5 linked regions of the Callithrix jacchus genome follow. The protein of the gene in region 4 interacts with the protein of the main gene of each other region in a pairwise test. Links are inferred from orthologs where the notes say so. Each region holds a gene or a part of one and is shown on either strand. Other genes may lie near its edges.

The links. The genes of interacting proteins can lie anywhere in the genome.
Region 1: the proteins of FHL2 (region 4) and SP2 interact in binary tests that used the Homo sapiens proteins (3 or more experiments, as listed by UniProt). The two-hybrid records come from large-scale screens. The link is inferred for Callithrix jacchus from reciprocal best matches to the Homo sapiens genes FHL2 and SP2.
Region 2: the proteins of FHL2 (region 4) and ZNF131 interact in binary tests that used the Homo sapiens proteins (3 or more experiments, as listed by UniProt). The two-hybrid records come from large-scale screens. The link is inferred for Callithrix jacchus from reciprocal best matches to the Homo sapiens genes FHL2 and ZNF131.
Region 3: the proteins of FHL2 (region 4) and ID3 interact in binary tests that used the Homo sapiens proteins (3 or more experiments, as listed by UniProt). The link is inferred for Callithrix jacchus from reciprocal best matches to the Homo sapiens genes FHL2 and ID3.
Region 5: the proteins of FHL2 (region 4) and GLYR1 interact in binary tests that used the Homo sapiens proteins (3 or more experiments, as listed by UniProt). The two-hybrid records come from large-scale screens. The link is inferred for Callithrix jacchus from reciprocal best matches to the Homo sapiens genes FHL2 and GLYR1.

Annotation. Positions count from the first base shown.
Region 1 is NC_133506.1:118,395,600-118,399,888, forward strand, and holds the start of SP2 (transcription factor Sp2), read right to left. Parts: upstream 2,812-4,289; 5' UTR 2,761-2,811; coding exon 2,754-2,760; exon of another isoform or gene 1-2,753. UniProt on the Homo sapiens protein: Binds to GC box promoters elements and selectively activates mRNA synthesis from genes that contain functional recognition sites.
Region 2 is NC_133503.1:162,367,731-162,371,959, forward strand, and holds the start of ZNF131 (zinc finger protein 131), read right to left. Parts: upstream 2,812-4,229; 5' UTR 2,805-2,811; coding exon 2,772-2,804; exon of another isoform or gene 2,295-2,771; coding exon 2,156-2,294; intron 1,117-2,155; coding exon 1,015-1,116; intron 1-1,014. UniProt on the Homo sapiens protein: Plays a role during development and organogenesis as well as in the function of the adult central nervous system. May be involved in transcriptional regulation as a repressor of ESR1/ER-alpha signaling.
Region 3 is NC_133508.1:60,314,113-60,317,473, forward strand, and holds ID3 (DNA-binding protein inhibitor ID-3), read right to left. Parts: upstream 2,094-3,361; 5' UTR 2,021-2,093; coding exon 1,721-2,020; intron 1,614-1,720; coding exon 1,554-1,613; 3' UTR 1,531-1,553; intron 1,016-1,530; 3' UTR 512-1,015; downstream 1-511. UniProt on the Homo sapiens protein: Transcriptional regulator (lacking a basic DNA binding domain) which negatively regulates the basic helix-loop-helix (bHLH) transcription factors by forming heterodimers and inhibiting their DNA binding and transcriptional activity.
Region 4 is NC_133515.1:15,512,188-15,516,173, forward strand, and holds the start of FHL2 (four and a half LIM domains protein 2), read right to left. Parts: upstream 2,808-3,986; 5' UTR 2,693-2,807; intron 1-2,692. UniProt on the Homo sapiens protein: May function as a molecular transmitter linking various signaling pathways to transcriptional regulation. Negatively regulates the transcriptional repressor E4F1 and may function in cell growth.
Region 5 is NC_133513.1:6,961,184-6,965,262, reverse strand, and holds the start of GLYR1 (cytokine-like nuclear factor N-PAC), read left to right. Parts: upstream 1-1,268; 5' UTR 1,269-1,285; coding exon 1,286-1,323; intron 1,324-2,369; coding exon 2,370-2,406; intron 2,407-3,406; coding exon 3,407-3,486; intron 3,487-4,079. UniProt on the Homo sapiens protein: Cytokine-like nuclear factor with chromatin gene reader activity involved in chromatin modification and regulation of gene expression. Acts as a nucleosome-destabilizing factor that is recruited to genes during transcriptional activation.

The DNA of each region.
Region 1 (4,289 bases), on a different chromosome or scaffold from region 4:
AGATGTCTTCATAAGGGCCCTGATTGGGGAATACTATACTTGCTTACAGTAAGCTTGGGAACTGCTACAGACCTGTAGCAAAGGGCTGTTCAGCTTCTCTAAAAGGCTGCTATTAACCATCGGAAGAACTAAGAAGTTCAAGGCCAAAATATCAAAATGAACCAACCACTCTACTTGCCGAATAAAAAGTTTCTTTACCCCAGACATCTGCCCAAATCTTTTTTTTTTTTTTTTTTTTTTTTGAGATGGAGTCTCACCCTGTCGCACAGGCTGGAGTGCAGTGGCACAATCTTGGCTCACTACATACAACCTCCTCCCGCTGGGTTCAAGCAAATCTCCTGCCTCAGTCTCCCAAGTAGCTCGGATTACAAGTACGGGACACCATGCCCAGCTAATTTTTGTATTTTTAGTAGAGACAGGGTTGGTTTTAGTCAGTGTTGACTAGGCTGGTCTCGAACTCCTGACCTCAAGTGATCTGCCCACCCTGGCCTCCCATCATGCTGGGATTACAGGCCTGAGCCACTATGCCCAGCTTGCCCAAATCTTATAATTTCTTTTCTCCTCTCTGACAGACCTCCAGAGGCCCAAACTTTAATAGAATCCGAGAGAGAAAAGTGGCCAGTCTATCTGCTGTCCACAGTGATGCCAAACTCTTCCTCCTGGAGCCAGTTCTCCCTGTTGGGCAGTCAGGTGAGGATCTAATTATGAACAAACTCTACTTGCGTCTCCCTGGCAGAGCTTGTGGCTTCAGCAGCCTAGCTCACGGAGGCTCATTATGTCAGACTAGCTTTTTTTTTTAAGAGTCTCTCTTTATTGCCCAGGCTGAAGTGCAATGGCGTCATCTCGGCTCACTGCAACCTCCGCCTCCCAGGTTCAAGCGATTCTCCTGCCTCAGCCTCCTGAGTAGCTGGGATTATAGGTGCGCACCACCACGTCCGGCTAATTTTTGTATTTTTTTAGTAGAGACGGGGTTTCACCATGTTGGCCAGGCTGGTCTCAAACTCAGGATCTCATGATCCACCTGCCTCGGCTTCCCAAAGTGCTGGGATTACAGGCGTGAACCACCGCGTCCAGCCTTGCAGTTACTTTTACCCAAAGAGGTTAAGCCTCTGTACAACCAAGAGGAAGAACTAGAATTAGAAAACTTACCAATTGCCCCAGCCAATAAGATTCCATTTCCAACAGGTATTAATGCCTGTTAGAAGCCACTGGAACACTGACATCATCAGCCCAATTGATAGGCTGTCTGATAGATTCGCCCCCTTCATCACACACAAGAATTTAAAACAAAACAAGACACTGCAGTTATATTCATTATTGCAGACAATGGGTTTCTTTATGTTAGTAATTGAAATTACTGCTGCGGTCTGGACTCCACCATTGTTCCCTCTGCAGCCTGTGAGGCTGGCCAACACTGTAAACTTCCTAGCCCTAAAAATCGTAATCCAGAATGCCACCTCAATACAGCCCTCCACTTGAAACTGAATGCCTTCTGGGGTACAGCACGAAAACGTTTTAGACAGTGCATGCCAGTGCACCTTGAAACAGTCAGTGTCCTTCCATCTGTAATGAAATCTGTGTAACGGGAAACTTGAGTCAATTCATTGTTTAAAGCAGATCTACTGGCTCATACCTTTCTCTAGGAAACAGTAAGTGAACAAGAAGTAACCGCAGAAAAAGAAAGAACTTTGCGAGAATGCACTGAGAAAAGCCAGACTGAGTCCCCTTGGATGAAGTTAATTAAGGAACAAACATGACAGGATATTGGAATCACAACCAAGGAATGCAGTGAGGACAGGTTTCTCAGTTGCCCAAAGACATAGTTCCTTTTGAACTAAAATTAGAAAGCCGCTGAGAAGGAAACATAAGAAGCATGGGTAAGAAGCAAGTCAGGAAAGGGGATGAAGGTGTGTTGAGGAAGAGAGCAAGTTTCTATTCTATTTCTTCTGTAATTCCTTAAGATTGTTTGCACCTGAGCTTTGGGATTGCAGCCGTCTCCCCCAAGGGGCGTCAGGTAACAGGCTGGGAGCTTTGGCAACAAGTTCCAAACTTCTCATAATTCTGCTAAGAGCTGGCAGATATCTAGCTGGAGGCTCAAGGATCCAAGTGCAAACATTAAAGGAAGGTTTTTGCCCACTACCCAGTGAGAGGTGATCTGCCTAGGGAGTGCCCTCGTGTCCTGACACCATCTCCCGATTAGGATACATCGGTAACCGGGCTGGCGTCGACGCCCAGCAGTGTCCATCTGGATCTCAAGCGTTCCCTCGCCCCTCTCTGTGCTCCGGGGAGCCCTTAATCGCTGGTGGGCATCTACAGTTAAGAGTGCAAGAAGGCCCCTCAAACACGAGGCAAGCACGAGGGCTGTCGGCTGCCTCCTCGAAGCAGACTCAAGCATAGTCCGCCCAGGCGGGCGAGCAGTTTTGAGATGGGTCGGCACCCGACTGAGGGGTGCCAGGCCGCCCCGGTGCCCGCTACTCTCGCTGGCCCCCGGAAGCGCCGCCCTCCCGCCCGGCGGGCTCCGAGGAGGCGGGGAGTCGAACGCCCCCTTCCGGGTGCCTCCGCCCGGCTGGCCAGCCCCGCTCCTCCTCCGGGCGGGAATCCTCCCTCCCCCGCCCCTCCCGAAGCCGGGCCCCGGCGTCAGGCCCGGCCCCAGGGGGGAACCCCCGGCCTCGGCTCCCCCTCCCCGCGGCCTCTGCCCGTCTTCCTGACCCTTGGGGGCCGGGAAGACCCCGCCGGCAGGGGCCGGGACCCACCGCTCATTACGACATCTTCCTCCCTGGCCTCCGCCGCCTCCGCCGCCACCGAGAGCCTGACACCGCCCGCCTAGCACCCGCCAATCCCGGAGCCCGCCACCGCCCGAGCGACGGCAGCCTTCACCAATAAGCGCTTGGAACATTGGGGACCGACAGCATTACTAACCAATCAACCAGAGGCGTCTAGAGCGACGTTGACTTGGCCAATAGGTTTATGCAATGTCACTGATCGACGGTAAAACCCACCAACCGGAAGCCAATTGAAGAATGAACGACATGTTCACCAGCCAATTGGAGGGAGTCAAAGTCCCGCCTACTGGGTGGTTGATGGACAGCAACAGGAAGCTGGAAGGGGAGGGGCTTATCCTAGGAGTGCTTTTGTATTGGTCGTGGTTGACCTTCCACCCACCTCTAACCCAGAGGATGAGTGATAGATTTGCCCTGAAGCCAATCAGAAGTCATTAGGGTGAGGCCCACAAATGCCTCATAAACAGCGTATACATTGCGCCTTAAGCCCACTCTCTCCCAGGTGTGCCAGGAGCTTTCACGGGCTCTTCGGCAGTAGCCGGCTGCCACTCAACCCTATGCTTGGTGAGTGGAAAGCCACCAACCTTTTATTTAGTTCCCCGCTTGTCATCGCCTCGGGGGGGGCGAAGCACTGGGGTCCGGCACCGTAGAGGGAGTTGGATTGTTACGCGACGCTTCTGAGGGGATTTTCCCAATCGGTTAAGCCCCCGTTAATCCTCACATGGTTATTGCGGCGACCCCCATAACCCACAGTCCCTAACGTGTGCATCTGAATCATCTGAAGTTCTTTCTAAAGGCAGGTTCCTCGGGCCGCTTCTTCTAATTCGACTTGGTACTTCACGGGTCGTGCCTAGAATCTGCATTTTAACAAGGGCCTCCCGTAGACATAATTGCACGCTCGAGTTTGAGATGCACTCTCCCGGGGCTACGCCAGTCAGAGCGTCACTTCTGAAGAGGAAAAAAAAAAAAAAAAGAAGAAGCACTGCTTGGCCCACTTGCCCTTACCTCGAAATGAGGTAAAGCACTTGGTAAGCACTAACCGGGTAGTTTTTTGGTGTTTTTTTTTTTTTTTAAGACGAGGTTTCACCATGTTGGTCAGACTGGTCTCGAACTTCTGACTTAAGGTGATCCACCCGCCTCGGCCTCCCAATGTGCTGGGATTACAGGCATGAGCCACTGCGCTTGGCGCGATGGTTTTATCTTTGCTCCCAAGTCTCTTCCGACAACTTCGGAAGACTGCCTGGCTTTTAGTGAGGGAATCCATTCTGGCTGCAGAAAACCTACTCATGCCACTAACTTAGGCAGGGTACCGAAGCTCCCTGACCCTCGTGTCCTCATCAGTAAAACGAGGTTGATCACATCTACACCTTAGAGTAATGGGTTAAAACAAAAACAAAAAAACCATAACCCATCATGAGAAAATTTTGCATACTGACCACTACGCTTCTGTTTGCATGAGAGTGTAATAAGGTTTCCGAAAACAATGCTTACTACTTGTGACGCACTGAT
Region 2 (4,229 bases), on a different chromosome or scaffold from region 4:
TTTGATGGTGGTAGGGAAGGAGTTACTGCAGTAGCAGAAGACAAAAGCATGGTAATTAATAGCACAAACTTAATTCCTTGCTAGCTGGGCAACTCTGGGCAAGTAACCTTTTAGAGCCTGTTTTCCTGATGGGTAAATTATTAGAAATAATACCACTTCTTTTTTTGGTTTTTTTCTTTTCTTTTCTTTTTTTAAAGAAGAAGAAGAAACACAGTCTGTGTTGCCCCAGGCTGGCCTTGAACTCCTGGGCTCAAGCAATCCTCCTGCCTCAGCCTCCCAAGTAGCTGGGACAACAAGCACAAGCCATTGTGCCCAGCATCAAAGGATTGCTGTGAGCCTTAGATAAGACACAAACTACATATCACAATGCCAAGCAGTTGGCAGGTTGTTATTAGAAAAATGTCTAGCAAGTACAAAAATCACTTTGTTTCAAGGTAACAGGTATTGATCCATCCCATTCAATAACCAGTAGAATTTCCTCTGAACACTACTTCAGTTCATCTTTCCTAGCTTTCTCCCTATTTATTACAGCAGCCCACTTCACACTGTGCATGTCACCTGTACCTCTGCTAGTACAACACTACTGCTGTAAGAGCAGAGTAAAGCGTTCTACTAGTAACCTGCAGCATCTCCACCAGTCTAAAATATAAGCCCACTGAACAAAGATGGTAATTCACTTTTAATACGTGTTTTTAAAAGACAATGACCACCAGCTTCCACAATGGAAAAGACCAACGTCTACCATCTTAAGTTTTTCCTAGAAGATCATTCAACCAAGCACTTTACTGAAACAAAGAATTCTCAGGTATCCAAAGAACAATTTATCTACTTACCTATAGGAACTATTGATGCTTATTTCCTATGGTGTCTTGATAAACGGACTAAAACTGCTTCACCAACTGTTTGCTATACACAAGTATTTAAATTCCAGTATTGTATTTAAAACAAATATGTAAATAAAATGACTTGAGTTATTAAATAAATAAAAAATAAAAAAATAAAACAAGCATTTACCTTCTATCTCCACCAAAGGTTCTTGGGTAAACTCCTGAAAGAATTTGTAGAAAAACTTACTGCAAGCAGCCAAAACAGCCTTGTGAGCTTTAAAATGGTGTCCTAGATAAAAATTAAAAAAAAAAGAAAATCATACACAAGCACAAAAATTAAATGTATAACTATAAAAGAGATTTTAAAATCATAAAAAGCAAAATAGGCCTTTCTTGATAATTACATAACTATAAAATTATTGAACTAAATGCAGAATATTCTTGGCAGCTATCTTGGCAAATTTTAATCTCAAATATTAAGCTAAATCTTCACTTCAAACACCTTAAGTTAGTTTTATAAAGGCTAATTTACAACACTAAATAAGGAGCCTCTTACCACTTTGTTATTTCGAATTAGTGAGAAGCATATTCAATTCAGTTGAAACAGCTAAATAAAAGGACAACCCAAAAGGTCACATATCATTTGGAAAGAGAGAAAAAGCCATAAGCACAAAGCTGGATATGTCTGCTATGAAAAACATTTTAATATGCCTAATATTTGAAAGCTCAATCTATGGTAGACCGATAATTTTAAAAGCAGCTTATCTTAAGAAACCTATTTTCACTAAACAGAAAAGATATCCAAGCTAGATTTGCTTCTATTACAGTGGCAACTCCTAAGACTGTAAAGACCCATTTTATTTTGGAGATTCTCCAAGGGGGTATGAGTGCTGCAAAGGAATCTCTCACATTCTCCCTCCAAGACCATTTGGGAAACCAGAAAAGAATCAACTTCCCAAATGCCTCCTGTGAGGGACTTCTCAAAGCAGCTTACCAACAAGAGGCTATCAACCAAACATTTTGAGACGTCCTATCCCCAACGCCATCATATTGCACTCAAGTGCAAAGAGAAAACTTCAACAGGATGCAAGAAGTTAAAATGAGAGGAACACCAGACTACGTGGAAAGCGTGACTGGCCAACCAGCCTTCTGCAGCACGCTCTGTGTGAGTGGACACTGACAAGTGCAATCTGGTCCCAGTGTACACACTCTGAAGACTTTGGTAGGGAGACCATACAGGATGGGTTTAAAGAAAAAAAGGCGGGTGTCCGCAGGACAGAGAAAAACTAAAGCCAAAAATTCGTTCTTCTGCCCACTTCCCTACCCACCGTCGACAATCAGGGTGATGTCAGTAAACCGGTCCTGCTCTCGCTGTTCATTCAATCGGTCGAGGATCATTTTATGATGTTCAGGGAACTCCTGAAGGCATTCCATCGTCTCTTCAGCCTCCATGGCCGTCGGGTTGCTCTACAAAAGAAGAGCATGATAATGTACACCCATGAGCTCGGGTTGAGGAACAAAACCCCTAAAGCATAAAACAACAACAACAAAAAAACCCAGCAACGTGAAAAGAAGGGGGGAGGGTGAGGCAAGAGGAGAGGAAGGCGAGGGAAGAAAGAAAGGCGAGCCGAGAGGCGCCCAGCGTTGGGGGCCGGAGCCGCGGCCGCGGGACTCCGAGCCTGACCTAATTGGAGTCGGGAGACGCGAGCTGGAGCGGGGTGGGCACAGCGCCGGAGGCTCAGAGCGCCGGGGCGCGCAAGTCCGACAAGGGAGGGGACTCGACAGCCGCGAAGGCCCTCTAACGGCCCGCCCAGCGCTTCTGCCCAGCCCGGGCTCCCGCCGCCCCGGGACCCGGTCCGGCCCGCGGCCCACAACGACTCTCGGGTCGCCTCTCCCTCCCCCGCCCTCCCTCTTCTCCCCCGCCCCGACCGGGCCGGCACTCACTGAGAGAAGGAGGGGCGGCCCAGGCTTGCGCATCACTTACGTCGACGTACGGCGTCACCGCGTCGGGCTCCGGCTGACGCCAACGGCTTCCGGGCGCCGACCAGCGGGGGAACGGGCCACGCCCCTACCCACACCCCTCAGTGGATGGGCGGGCCCGAGCGCGGGGATTTGGCGCTCACTAAGGGCGAGGACTTGCGTTCAGAAAGGAAACCGGGCTGCGGGGTACTTGGGCTCGTTTGGGGACTGGCTGTGCCAGAAGCTGGGAACCTAAGTCGCCGCCATTCCACCTCTCACCGCCCCGCAGCTTGACTCCCGGTGCCGACACTTTCCGACTTGAACCTAGAATGAACTCGCCAAACGTCCTCCCAGCCCAGCTGCTGCGCGGCCCCTCCCGCCCCGTCGTTCCCCGCCCCCTTCCTTCCGAGACCTAGGTCCGTCCGCCTTACCTAGCTCGTGATCCGCCCTTTTTCCTCTCTGTGCCTCCGAGCTTCTGGTTCAGTGCTTTTCCCTCCCTGGGCATAATGCGCCCCACACTTTTCCCGACCCCTGACCCATGGCTCGCCCTCCATTTTCCCCGCAAGAGCCGCGACTCTCCCTCTGCTCGGGCCCAGCTGGCGCACGTGTACTAGGTTGGACAGCGGCACCGACAACGGTAGCGACGGGCGCGAGCACGTTCGGGTCGCCGGTGATCTTCCTCCGCGAAGCGCGCCCTCCCGGCTCCTGGCCGCAGCACGTGTTCGCTGGGCTTAGCACCTGGAGCTGCTCAGAATTATTTACACCGGGTGCCCCGACTGCAGGTCCCGACTCCTTTAAAGAGTCTAGTCAGGCCGCGGTGTCTCACGCCTGTAATCTCAGCACTTTGGGAGCCCGAGGCGGGCGGATCACTTGAGGTCAGCAGTTCGAAACCAGCCTGGCCATCATGGCGAAACACCGTCTCTACTAAAAATACAAAAATCCGCCGGGCGCGGTGGTGGGTACCTGTAATCCCAGCTACTAGGGAGGCTGAGGCAGGAGAATCGCTTGAATCCGGGAGGCGAACGTTGTAGTGAGCCGAGATCGCGCCCTTGCGCTCCAGCCTGGGCGACAGAGCCAGCCTCTGTCCCCCACCTTAAAAAAAAAAAAAAAAAAAAAGAGTCCAGAGTCCAGCACAGTCGGCTGCATGTAACTGTTTCCTTCATTCCTCCAAAGAAATATATGTATTAGTATTGATACATTTTGAGGATAATCCTATACTTGAGATTTACTTATTCTTTTCCCTCAAAGAATTTGAGAATTGGGATTAGGGAGGGACTCAAATAGCTATATGCAAGGGTGAATGTAATCATCATTTCAACAGACATGTATTGAGAGTCCTAGCACTGAGAAATCCAGCTACGAACAAGGTATATGTGGCTTCTGCCTTTCTGAATCTTAAGTCTAGTAGAGTCCATAGATATTTTGAACAGTAATTGCCTAAAT
Region 3 (3,361 bases), on a different chromosome or scaffold from region 4:
CCCACAAGGAAGTCAGCCCAGAAAGCAAAAAGGAAATGAAACCAGGCCCAGTTATCAGTTTATTCATTTCTGTATTGGTCTATCAACCACCACCCATGTCTGGGCACCAGGTGAGGCAACACTTGAGGTTCTTTCAGCTCTTACCACATCCCTGGCTAGAAAGGCATAGTGAATAATTAAGTGACAATAAAACAGAAAGCTACTGATCTCAAGAGACATGAGAACTCAGTTCTCAACCTGCCTGAGCCCCCATCTTGCTCGGCATGCTTGCACCAGTCCCTCTGGTTTCTCTTCATCCGTGAAATGATGGGGCAGAGCCCAGATCTTTTCTCTGCACCCACCCCTCAATGGACATGGGACTCATCATGAGACCTTCTTTCCCCACCCTGTCCTCCTCAGCTGGGCATTTTTTCATCTACCTTTTATGGGAACAAACAAGTTTACTTCCCAAAGCTCCCTAACTTCAGCCATGTGAGAGAAAGCATCATTAGTACTTAAGCGGACACGGGTGTCATATACACAAGTGTTCAAAAATCGTTTATTATGCAAAATGTTAACTTTTATAAAAAGTTTGATATACATCGCATTGTTACAGAAAGTCACCTTCCTGTAAAAAAGGTACAAAAGCTATATACTCTATTATAGAGTTCATAAATCAGGGCATCAGAACCTTTCTCCAAGGAGACCAGAAGACCAGCTCTGCCGCCGCCTTGGCAGAGTCTGGAGAGCAGCCACTCCCTCCTCCACACCTCCATGCTCTGAAAAGACAGTCCTTAAAACTTGGGGGTGGGGTGGGGGCAGGGTGACGTCGCCCAGCTGGTGGCCAGAGCTGGCTCTGGCTCTTCAGGCCACACAAGTTCACAGTCCTTCGCTCTTGGGCACCAGGTTCAGCCTCCAGGAAGGGGTTTGGTGAAGTCAAGTGGGCAGGGCGAAGTTGGGGCCCATCCATGCCGTCCGGCTTCCGGCAGGAGAGGTTCCCGGGGTCCCAGGCCAAACGGGCGCCAGCACCTGCGTTCTGGGCGGGGGAGGAAAGAAGACCAAGGAGCAGTCAGTTTCCGCCAAAGGCGCCGAGGCGGGGGCCGTCCGCAGACTGGCCGGCGCCAGGGAGGAAATTTGGTCTCTACCTCCAGCTGATAACTCCGCGCCCCACGCTGCCCCCACCCAGTTGGCGCCAAAGACCACAGGCGGAGCTTGCACTACCCCTCCCACTTGGAATTGACACTAACTGGGAGGGGGCTGTTGAAGACACAGCTCCCTATACAACTCCAAACAGAAAGACTTTTATTTAGTCGGACCCGCATCTACTTTCCCAGACCCTTGGCCACTGCGGGAGGGCAGGAGCGAGGCGCGTTTAAGGCTGAAATGCACATCACATGGAAACTGACTCTACCATTCATTTGATGCGACCATGGGCAAGTCACTTCTCTCTGGCCTCGGTTTCCCTAAACCGAGGGGGTGGAAATCTTTTAAAAGGTCTGCCAACTCCAGGACTTCCGTTTAAACTCCCTCCCCACGGGAGGAGATACTCACCAGGCGGTGCGAGGACGGCCGGGTCAGTGGCAGAAGCTCCTTTTGTCGTTGGAGATGACAAGTTCCGGAGCAAGCTCGGCTGTCTGAGAAGAGGAAAAGCGGGAAGAGTTACATAAGGCAATCGGGGGCTCTGAGGATCCCACAGCATCTTTGCCTGGGTGTTCAGCCCTGACGCAGCTCCAAGGCTTACCTGGATAGGGAGATGGGGCCCGTCGGGGGGTCCAGGGGCTGGCTCGGCCAGGACCACCTGCAGGTCGAGGATGTAGTCGATGACGCGCTGTAGGATTTCCACCTGGCTAAGCTGAGTGCCCCTCGGGACGCCGGGTACCAGTTCCCGCAGGCGGGAGTAGCAGTGGTTCATGTCGTCCAGCAGGCTCAGCGGCTCCTCTGCTGCCGGGCCCTTGCCTCGGCCCCTGGCGATGGCCAGACTGCGTTCCGACAGGCAGCACACCGCCTCGTAGCAGCCGCGCACCGGGCTCAGCGCCTTCATGCTGGGAAGTGAGTCCAGAAGTGCCCAGAGGTGGGAGAAAACCCAACGAAATCCCCCAACAGTGGCTTGCAATACGTGCACGCTCGCTACCGCGGCACTTATAGAGCCCGCTCCACGGCACGCCCCTTTATGCAAAATGGCCCGCCTCGGCCCCGCCCCCGCCGCCCCTGGGCGTTCACAGCCCGCTTAAATTGCAAACAGGCTTCCTCTGGCTGGTCTGACGCCGAAGACCGCGGAGTCGCGGATTCAAAGAATGAGGAAGCGCTGATACTGGGGAGAGGCGGGCCTCTTCGCCAGCAAGGATTTAAAAATCACTGAAAACCATTAACTTTAAGAATTTGCTTTTTCCTGGCAGCGCCCCAGATCTTTGAGCTTCCATGCCCCCTGCCAGTCCGCCCTTAGCCCAACACTGGTTCGAACCCACAGCTCCTCGGAGGTCATAAATCCTTGAACAGCAAAGAAGCTCCCCCGCTTTTTTTTTTTTTTTTTTAGCAAAAGATTTTTCAAGGGAAACTTGTAAGGAATTAGTGCCGCCTTGTTCCCCAATTTGCTGTTCGTCTGACCTCCAGACTCACTGGCGTCAGGAATTATCTTGTGACCAGAGGGAAAAAAAATTAATTGCGGTGAAGCTGAGGTTACAATGAAGAAAACAGATTTGGGCTAGGCGCTGAGTTTGCAGAAGGAGGAGGGAAAGGGGGTTTGAGCAAAGAACGCTATTTATTTGAGCAACAGGGGAAAAGAAGAAAGCCTGATCCCATGCTTTTTGCATGGGGGAAAAAAAGCCTGGACCCTCTGCCCCATGAACTCCATAACGAAACAAATATATTCCCAGTTGTGCTTTGTAAGTAAATTTAATTAGCATTTTGGTCCAGGTTTTAAATATGGAGGCACAGATGGGACAATTTCGATATAAACCTTTTTAGGAGCCCCCCATTGGGTCAGCAAATTTCTTCCCCTCTCCTCACTTTCCACACATCTCTGTGCGGAAAACAATGGTAATTTCATTGCTCTATTGTCTGTCCCTTTCTGCTGTGGAAGGGCGGGCCACCTGGACTTCATTATTCCTACCCCTGCTGAAGTAGCTCCAGCTTTATCTGAATGACCAGGAAAGGAACCAGAGGGCGGGCAAACTAAGTCCTGTATTGCAGCAGGATGCTGTGCTCTGTATTCTTTGCTTGTCTTCTTGTCACCTCCCTAGACATTTGGGAACCTGCTGTTCTAAGATGCTGGTCATCTTGGAAATGACCAAGTGGGATTCCCCCAATGGTTGCTTTCCTAATGAATCATTGGCAAATATTTATGGAGTCTCTCCACATAAAACAGTGGCTCCTGCTTTCAACA
Region 4 (3,986 bases):
GCAGGGTGTGGTGGTACATGCCTGTAGTTCCAGCTACTTGGGAGGCTGAGGCAGGAGAATCACTTAAACCCGGGAGGCAGAGGTTGCAGTGAGCTGAGATTGTGCCACTGCACTCCAGTCTGGGTGACAGAGCAAGACTCTGTCTCGGAAAAAAAAAAAAGTCATAAAATAATAATAAAAGAGCAGAATGAAATTCTTGCACTTTCCTCTTAATACCTAATTGTATGCTCCCCCTTAATAAAACACATCAAGTATGTTTTATGAATTGTTGGCTTCAGATGGTTTTAGTTCAGCTTAATTTTTCAGCATTGCTCTTTAACCGCAACAAAAGTCCTGTGTTAAAATGAATTTTTATTCCTCTTTTCCCTATCTAAAATGTATCCATTAAATTCAAATAAAATCCCAAATTGTAACACATTAAATTACTCAGCACTTATGTTGGTTCTTTTCTGTTTTTCATCCATATTTTAGTGTATTAGAGACTAAGTGAGGAGGTGCTGATAAATCAATGGAATAAAAAAAAATCAGTAAACCAGATTTGTAAGGCATGGGGGGGCATGTAGATCAAGGCACAAGATGGTTGAATTTTTCATGATTCGAAAGGGACCAGTACTAGTGTAGAAATCAATTACCAGATCATACTTTGAACTGATGTTATATCGCTATATTCTAACAAAATATCTTATCTAAATCTTTATGCCCTTTGACTCTTCATCCATCCAACTATTATGAATATTTTAATATATTGACTAACCAAAATGGGTCATAACGATATATAGAGATAACCAATTTTCAAGGAATTAGATTTTGAAACAGCTGTAAGAGGCATTGACCATAAATTGGACAGAAAGCAGATTACCAAGTAATTTGATTGATGTATATATGTTTCTGTTAATTATAATTTACAGTTTCCCAAATAACTTAATGTTTTTGGATTCACCTTAAAATATCTCATAGTGGGATTAAAAAAAAAATCTATGAAGTGAATGGTTTACGTCTTTCAGTCAAAGATACCTTAGAATCAATAAATAATTAAAATCAACAATAAATTGCAAGAATAGTTATCTTTTGAGTAATAAGAGTATATATAATTTTCCATTTTCTTCTTGTTGCTGGTCTGTATTTTTTATAGTAAACGTAGATTATTTGTAGAGTAAAAAAAGAAAATGTAAGCACTCAATATAATTTTAACTCATTCTTTGGTGGAGAGAGAATGAATTAAAATCAGTCTCTGGGCCATGTATTGTAAATATGAAATATTTTAGAGATCAGTGGAAAGTGTGTCCATCCCTGTGCTTCAGGTCATGGGAATGCAGTGAGAGGCATGGCTTGGCCTAGCCTCGGGGATCTGAAATCAATGGAGAACTCTGGAAGCTCTAAATAGAACAATGAGACTTAAAAGTAAGAAATGTTCTAAAAGACAGGTGATGGGTGAGCAGTCTGGGAACCCTGTGTTGGAAAATATGCAACTTTTCATGGAAGTTATATTTTAAAATATTTTTAATATAAGAAAAAGCCTCCAAAATGTAATCATTTGAGTCGATTAGTCAGCTACTCAATTAAATATAAAAACTTGGGTCAGAATGATCTCAACATATAATAAACCTTATTCCAGCCCATCCTGGATACCCCAAAACCCTGATTTGATCATTACACATTCTGTGTATGTACTGAACTACTCACATGTACCCCATACATATGTAAATTCTATTCATGTATCAATAAAATTGTAAAAGCCTAGCAATAAAATAAAATTCAAATAATATTCTTCAAGAAACAAATAAAACAATGAAAATAAACTTACATACAGCAAATATGAGCTACAACAGCGTTAACCTGTAATGCAGGTATTTATTAACACTCTTCGGACTTCAGAATAATTTAGAAACAAAAACTGGACTGACAACTTTTTCTTTTCTTTTTAGATTAGACTTGATAAAGTGTCTTGCATGGAGTCTGGCTAGAAGATATTTATATAGATGATGTCTATTATCATATATATGTCACCCTATCAGTATTGAGATTATTACACAATTGGCCAGGGCGTTACTCAGGACTGTACATCCTAGAGTTTGCCCTGCTCTGGAAATTGTAAAATATTCATGCATTTCCTTTTTAAAGCATGCAACAGCTCTCTGGACTTTCAAACCATCAGCCACTAAGAGTCATGTTGTATAAACACACTTTCCCAGAGTAATCAGACTCATCAGTAATTTGCCATTTCAGCCCAGGCTTTCCGGAAATTCTGTCAGGGAGAAAAAGTTCAAGTGCACTGTGGTTTTCCCCGTTTCCAATGTTTATAATATTTCTTCTTTTGCTTTCCCCTTAAAAAATGTTTTCTGGTGTTCAAAATGGATTCCCACTGAGTGGAGGCAGGGGCTCAATTTCATTTAAACCTCTCCTCATTCCCAATGAGCAGGGTTCTCTATCTTCAAGCCAAGGACCCTGTATCTTTGGGCAGGGTGGCTTCCGTTCCTGGGCTTTGCCATTGGTAGGAGCCAGCAGCCAGCACCACCTGCATTTCTGCTGGGGTCAGTGAGCTCCCAGTGCCTGAGAGCTTCCTCCCAGGCCTGGGACGCTCCCTGTGCATGGAGCAAGATGCCTACACAACTGCTGTCCAAGCCTGCTGCAGAGTTAGGCTGGGAAGGATGGCAAGGGTAAGAGAAGGGCATGGGGAACCAGTGGTCCTTACCTGCAGTGTCAGGGTTCTGTCTTCTGTCCTCCAGCCCGATGAGCAGGGACAGCAGCCGTGCAGGCAGATGGCCTGGTTAGATGGCCCCAACCTTCTCTGCAGCTGCCAGCCAGCTGTGCTGCCCTTGTCAGTGGTGCTATAAATAAGGTGCATCTGGACATTGGCCAGGCTCAGGAGATAAGAACCCAGTCCCTGATTCCTACATGCCTTTTAAGGCCTCCACATTAAAGGAGCCTCGGCTCCCAGAAGGGAAAGGGCTGCCATGTCCTCATTTGTCCTGCCTGCCTCAAGGTCACCTCAGACCTCACATTTTCCAGCAACCCAAAGGGTAGCTGAAGTGGAAAGGCCACCAGTGCCAGAAAGGGACCTTACTTTGGCAAACAAGAGGTAGAACCTCCAACAGGCTGCCCAGCTGCACTTCTGTCCACCCCTCAGATTAGGTGCCTGGCATGGAGGCCCAGGAGTGGAGGGACACTTCCCCCAGGCCCCACAGCCCCTCTGTGAGCTGGGAAATGTGGATTCCTAGTGCTGCCTTCCGGAAAGAGCTCACTGACCTTCTCTTTGGCTTATGAGTTCATTTGCTTGGGTGAGAGGATGTTAGGGAAGCCCGAACAATAGGCTCAATAAATGGCAGGCATTTGGGAAGCCATGGGTGAAATACATTTGCAGAAATTTCTCTCCCTCCCTTCCTCCCTGCTCATGCATGATTATAAGGGTTTCTCGAGCCACACATTGTTTTCTCTATGAAATTAAAACAGTGAAATTCCCAGAGCCTTTTAAAAGCCATATGCTGGGAGAGGAAAGAAAACTAATTTGGGATATCAACAGCTCCTGATTCTTTTGAAATTTCTTACTTACGAGTATGCTGAAAAGGCACTCGCCCATGGCGAGGGCCAACTTCTTCCGAGGATTATTTGGTGAGAGCTGTCTGCATTACCAAAACAATTCTAGGCCTGCAGATTTATCCTGAGGAAAGAATAGTGTATATGGGCAGAGGACATTTCTTGAAGCTCTTTTTTTTTTTTTTCTCAAAATTAGGAAAAGTTGGAAACAACGTAAATAGCTCAGAAGAGGGGACTGAATAAATGAGAAATAGTATATGGGCTGGGCGAGGTGGATCACACCTGTAATCCCAGCACTTTGGGAAGCCAAGGCCGATGTCAAGACATCGAGACCATCCTGGTCAACATGGTAAAACCCCGTCTCTATGGAAAATACAAAAATTAGCTGGGCATGGTGGCGCATGCCTGTAATCCCAGCTGTTCGGGAGGCTGAGGCAGGAGAATTGCTTGAA
Region 5 (4,079 bases), on a different chromosome or scaffold from region 4:
TAACCACCACAATGCATTGGGGAAGTGCGTGTGGACCCGTCACCTTTTCCAGCAGGCACTGACTCAACAAGAGTCCGACACCAACTTTAGGTCAATCCTTGACACTGCGGAGTCTGTAACTGGGACTGGGATCTTTTGCATAATTGTTTCTACCTGGTCTGCTGAAGTTTGGGCCCGCGCTGCGCTCAACTGCAGTGAACACTTCCCAGTTCGTGGTTCAGTTTTAAAGTGTCCGAACTACGCCCGGCATCTGTCTTCCTGTTGTCACAACTTTTTCAAAAGTGTAAAAACTAAAGCAAGGCTAACGGCAGAGCCCGGTCCCGACAACGACACGCACCTTTGTCCCCAACGCCGACGCGGGCCGCAGACGTCCTCCCGCGGCGGTCCTCATGCCGGCCAGGGCCCCGGGCGGTCGCGCAGCTAGCGGTCGGCTCCCGAGCCGCGGCTCCCCGCCGGCGGGTGGCCCACGCCTCGGCCCATGGCCGGGTCCCCGCGCCCAGAGAAGCTTGGTGTGCCGCGCCGCGCGCCGGTCCAGGAAGAAGCAAAGAAATGCCAACTCGACGTCCGCGCAGCCACTCCGGGGACACCGGGGGGTCGGGAGAGCAGTCGCCGGGCGCCCCGGGAGAACTTGCAGCGCGGGACTCCGCGCTCACACGCCGCCTCCGAAAGCGGCCGTCAGGAGGAGCGCTCCAAAGAACCCGGGCGGTGGGAGCGGACAGGCGCGGACACCCGAGCCTCCCGGCCTGCGGTCAAGCGGAGCCGCCGGGCACGGGAGCCCAGACCTAGGCGGAGGGTGAGTTCCAGGCCGCGCCGAGCTCCGTCAGGGCAGCTCCCGGGCGCAGCGACGCGGCCGACCGGCGCCTCGGGCTCTGGAATGGTCCCGGGGCCCGCGCCGGACTAACGGCCGTAACGGAAGCGCCAAGAGGGGAGGGGCGCCGACTCCAAGGCCCGGGGGCGGGGCGGGCCGCGAGGCCGGCTCCCTCTTGCGCTCAGCCGGTCGCACAGTCGCCGCCGCCGCCTCAGACCGCGGACGCTTCGTTGTCACGAGCCGAAGGGAGGGGGTAGGAGCCGGGAATCTCTACGCTCCGGCGCGCGGAGACCGCGGCGCTCGCATCACGTGCCGCTTGGCCGGCCAATGAGCCCCGACAAGCGCGGTGACGTCAGAGCAGCGGCGTGGCCGATGACAGCCGGCCCCTGTCACGTGGTCTCGCCCACTCCAATGGGCGACGCCGGGGCGACCTGCTGTTCCCGGCGGCCCGTGCGTCGGCGGTGGTTGGGTGGTAAGATGGCGGCTGTGAGTCTGCGGCTCGGCGACTTGGTGTGGTGAGTCCGGGCGGCCGGGCCAACCGAGACGCGCCGGGGAACTGCCCGCCTGGGCGCGGGGTTCGCGGCCGGCCCAGGAGCTGCCTTCCTATGCGCTCCAGGTCGCGGAGAGAGGGGAAGAGAAGGTGCCGGCGCTTGTGAGCGGCGCCGGGCGGAAGGGGCAGTCCAGCCCCGGGGGACCGAGGCCGAGGGTGGCCACGGCGGGCACCGGCTCTGATCTCCGAGGCCGCCCGGGAGGGGGCTGCACTTGGGGCCCAGATATCGGCTGTCATGGTGAAGGGAGCCGCTTGTTCCGCGAGGCTTCCCCGGACACCGGGTCCCCGGGGTCTTGCTGCGACTTCCCAGAAAGCAAAAGCGCCGGGGACCGGACCCGCGAGTCCATCTCGCCGGTGCCAGTCGGTCAAAGCCCTGGTTGCGATGCAGCCGACCTGTGCTGGCCGCGCAACCGGGGGTGTCTTAAACCGGACTGCTTACGTTGCCCCGCGAAGAAACGGCGGGGGGACTTCGCTTTTCCAACCGATGGCTTGGCAGTGACCAGTGCCGGCTTGAGTGCCTCTCGTGGTATGCTTCTGTGTCCCAGACAACCGCCCGAACCAAGACTGATTGTCGCCGCCTCCCTCGAGCTGCGTAGCTTGTTTCTCCACCCAGAGGAAGGCTTCCATTAGCATTTGTCAAAGCCAGGCAGGTCTCCTGTTGAATTAAACCAGACTTAGGGAGGGGAAGTCTGTGTTTACAGAGGAAACTGTCCTCCCACCCCCGTCATTAAGAAGCTCTAGACAAGTGACTTTTGACAATTTTGTTCTGTATTCATTATCAACAGAAGAATGGACATATGCTGTGCACATAAGTATACAATTTTACGTTTTACTTCTGAGGGTCTTGGGCCCAGATGTGGAAGACAGGTTAAGGACTCTCGTTTGCAAGCTTTTGTTCCAGTACTTGAGGATGCCAGCAGAGATTTAGGAAAATAAATAGCGTATTGAGTGGGTTGAAGGAGCTGGACTGGCTTTTCCAGGGCAAGTGCTGACTCTGTGTGTTTTCTCTAGGGGGAAACTCGGCCGGTATCCTCCTTGGCCAGGAAAGGTGAGTGTCTTGCTACTGAAGGAAGATAACCGAAGATGGGTATGAGGAGGTGGAAAATATAAGATTCATTCCTCTAAATTTCTAGCATTGAGTTAAACGGGGCCAATTCAGATGGCACTTAGAATTCCCCCGAGTTTTTTTTTTTTTAAAGGCCATACGGTATACACCAGGTCGTTAATCTGCTCTAAACACTATTTGTTGATTTAGAGGACGTTTACGAAGTGTCTTTTTTTTTTTTTTTAACCCCGGAAATAATTCTAATCTGAATTTAGCTTCATGTTTAAATGTAACAAAAGGAGAAGAAAATATAAATTATCCAGGAAGAGAGAGAAGTCTAAATGTAGGTTAGTGAAAAGCCAAAGTATTTTTGTCCCAACTAAGTTTAAATCTTCTTTCTGTGTTACCATATGTGCTACTCCGGTGCCTCTTTGCAGAAGTTGGCATTCCAGATTTTGCATGAGGTGATCTGTCATTGCTTTCCAAATGTTCCGTTTTTATATTCTTGTTCAGAACCCAGGAAGTGTCTTTAGATGGTCTCTTTGCAATATGGTGTTTTCAGTTGTCCTTTGTTTTCACTATTTCCTATCTAACTCTTCCTGCACAGGAAGTATTTCAAAGAGTATCCTCTGCATTTCTTCCGTAACCACTGTCACATGTTGTGGGGGCAGCAAGGGGGCAGGGGATGCTGTTGATTTAACTGCTGGTAAAGCAGGGCCACTGCAGTGAAAGGGATATTGTGTTTACTAAGCCCTGCGCTACATGTTAGATATTGGGAACTTCCAGAATATCTGCATGTTTCCACACATCTCAGTCGAAAAATGGGAGATTTAGGCAAGTACTGGCCTTGGGTTCTGTTTTGTACATGAATAAATTTGTTTATAAGTAAGTCTTTTAATTGACTTTTTTCTTACCAACGTAGAGCTCTGTAGAGCACTGTGGAGCCACGAGAAAGCGGGCTGCTACGTTGCCAGCCAATCTTTTTCCCCCTTTTACTCTCCAGATTGTTAATCCACCAAAGGACCTGAAGAAACCTCGTGGAAAGAAATGCTTCTTTGTGAAATTTTTCGGAACAGAAGACCAGTGAGTAGTGGTCACCTGGAGTCTCCCTTTGCCTTTCTTTCTGTGTTACCTGGAGTTTGAGCTGTTTTGAGAGTATTCTCAGGATCCTTAGTTCAGTCTTCTTATAGTGTATAAGACTGGCATCTCATTCTGGCTTCATACCTAAATAAAGGTGCAGTTGTCTGCAGAAATTGTCTTAGAAGAGCCATGCTCAGTTCTCTTTGAATGCTATATTATCATTATGGTTCATGCATGAGGTATAGAGTGAAAACTAAAATTTTATTTATATTAATAAAAGTTCTTGTTCTCATTTGTAAAACTAAGTGATTTGCTTTGACATTATTATAGTAAGCCTTTTTAACAGATCTGTCCTAAAGTTGAGCAAGCCAAGACCATTCATCTGAGACTCTGACCACATAGCATGTCACAGTGAGGGGAAGAACGTGTATTAACTTGAGTTACTAGTGATTTGTTTGGCTTTCTCATCACTGCATCAACTTGCTTACCTCAGTCTAGCTAGATGGTTTGATTTCTTTTTTTTTTTTGAGATGGAGTTTCACTCTGTCACCCAGACTGGAGTGCAGTGGCATGACTTCAGCTCACCGCAACCTCCA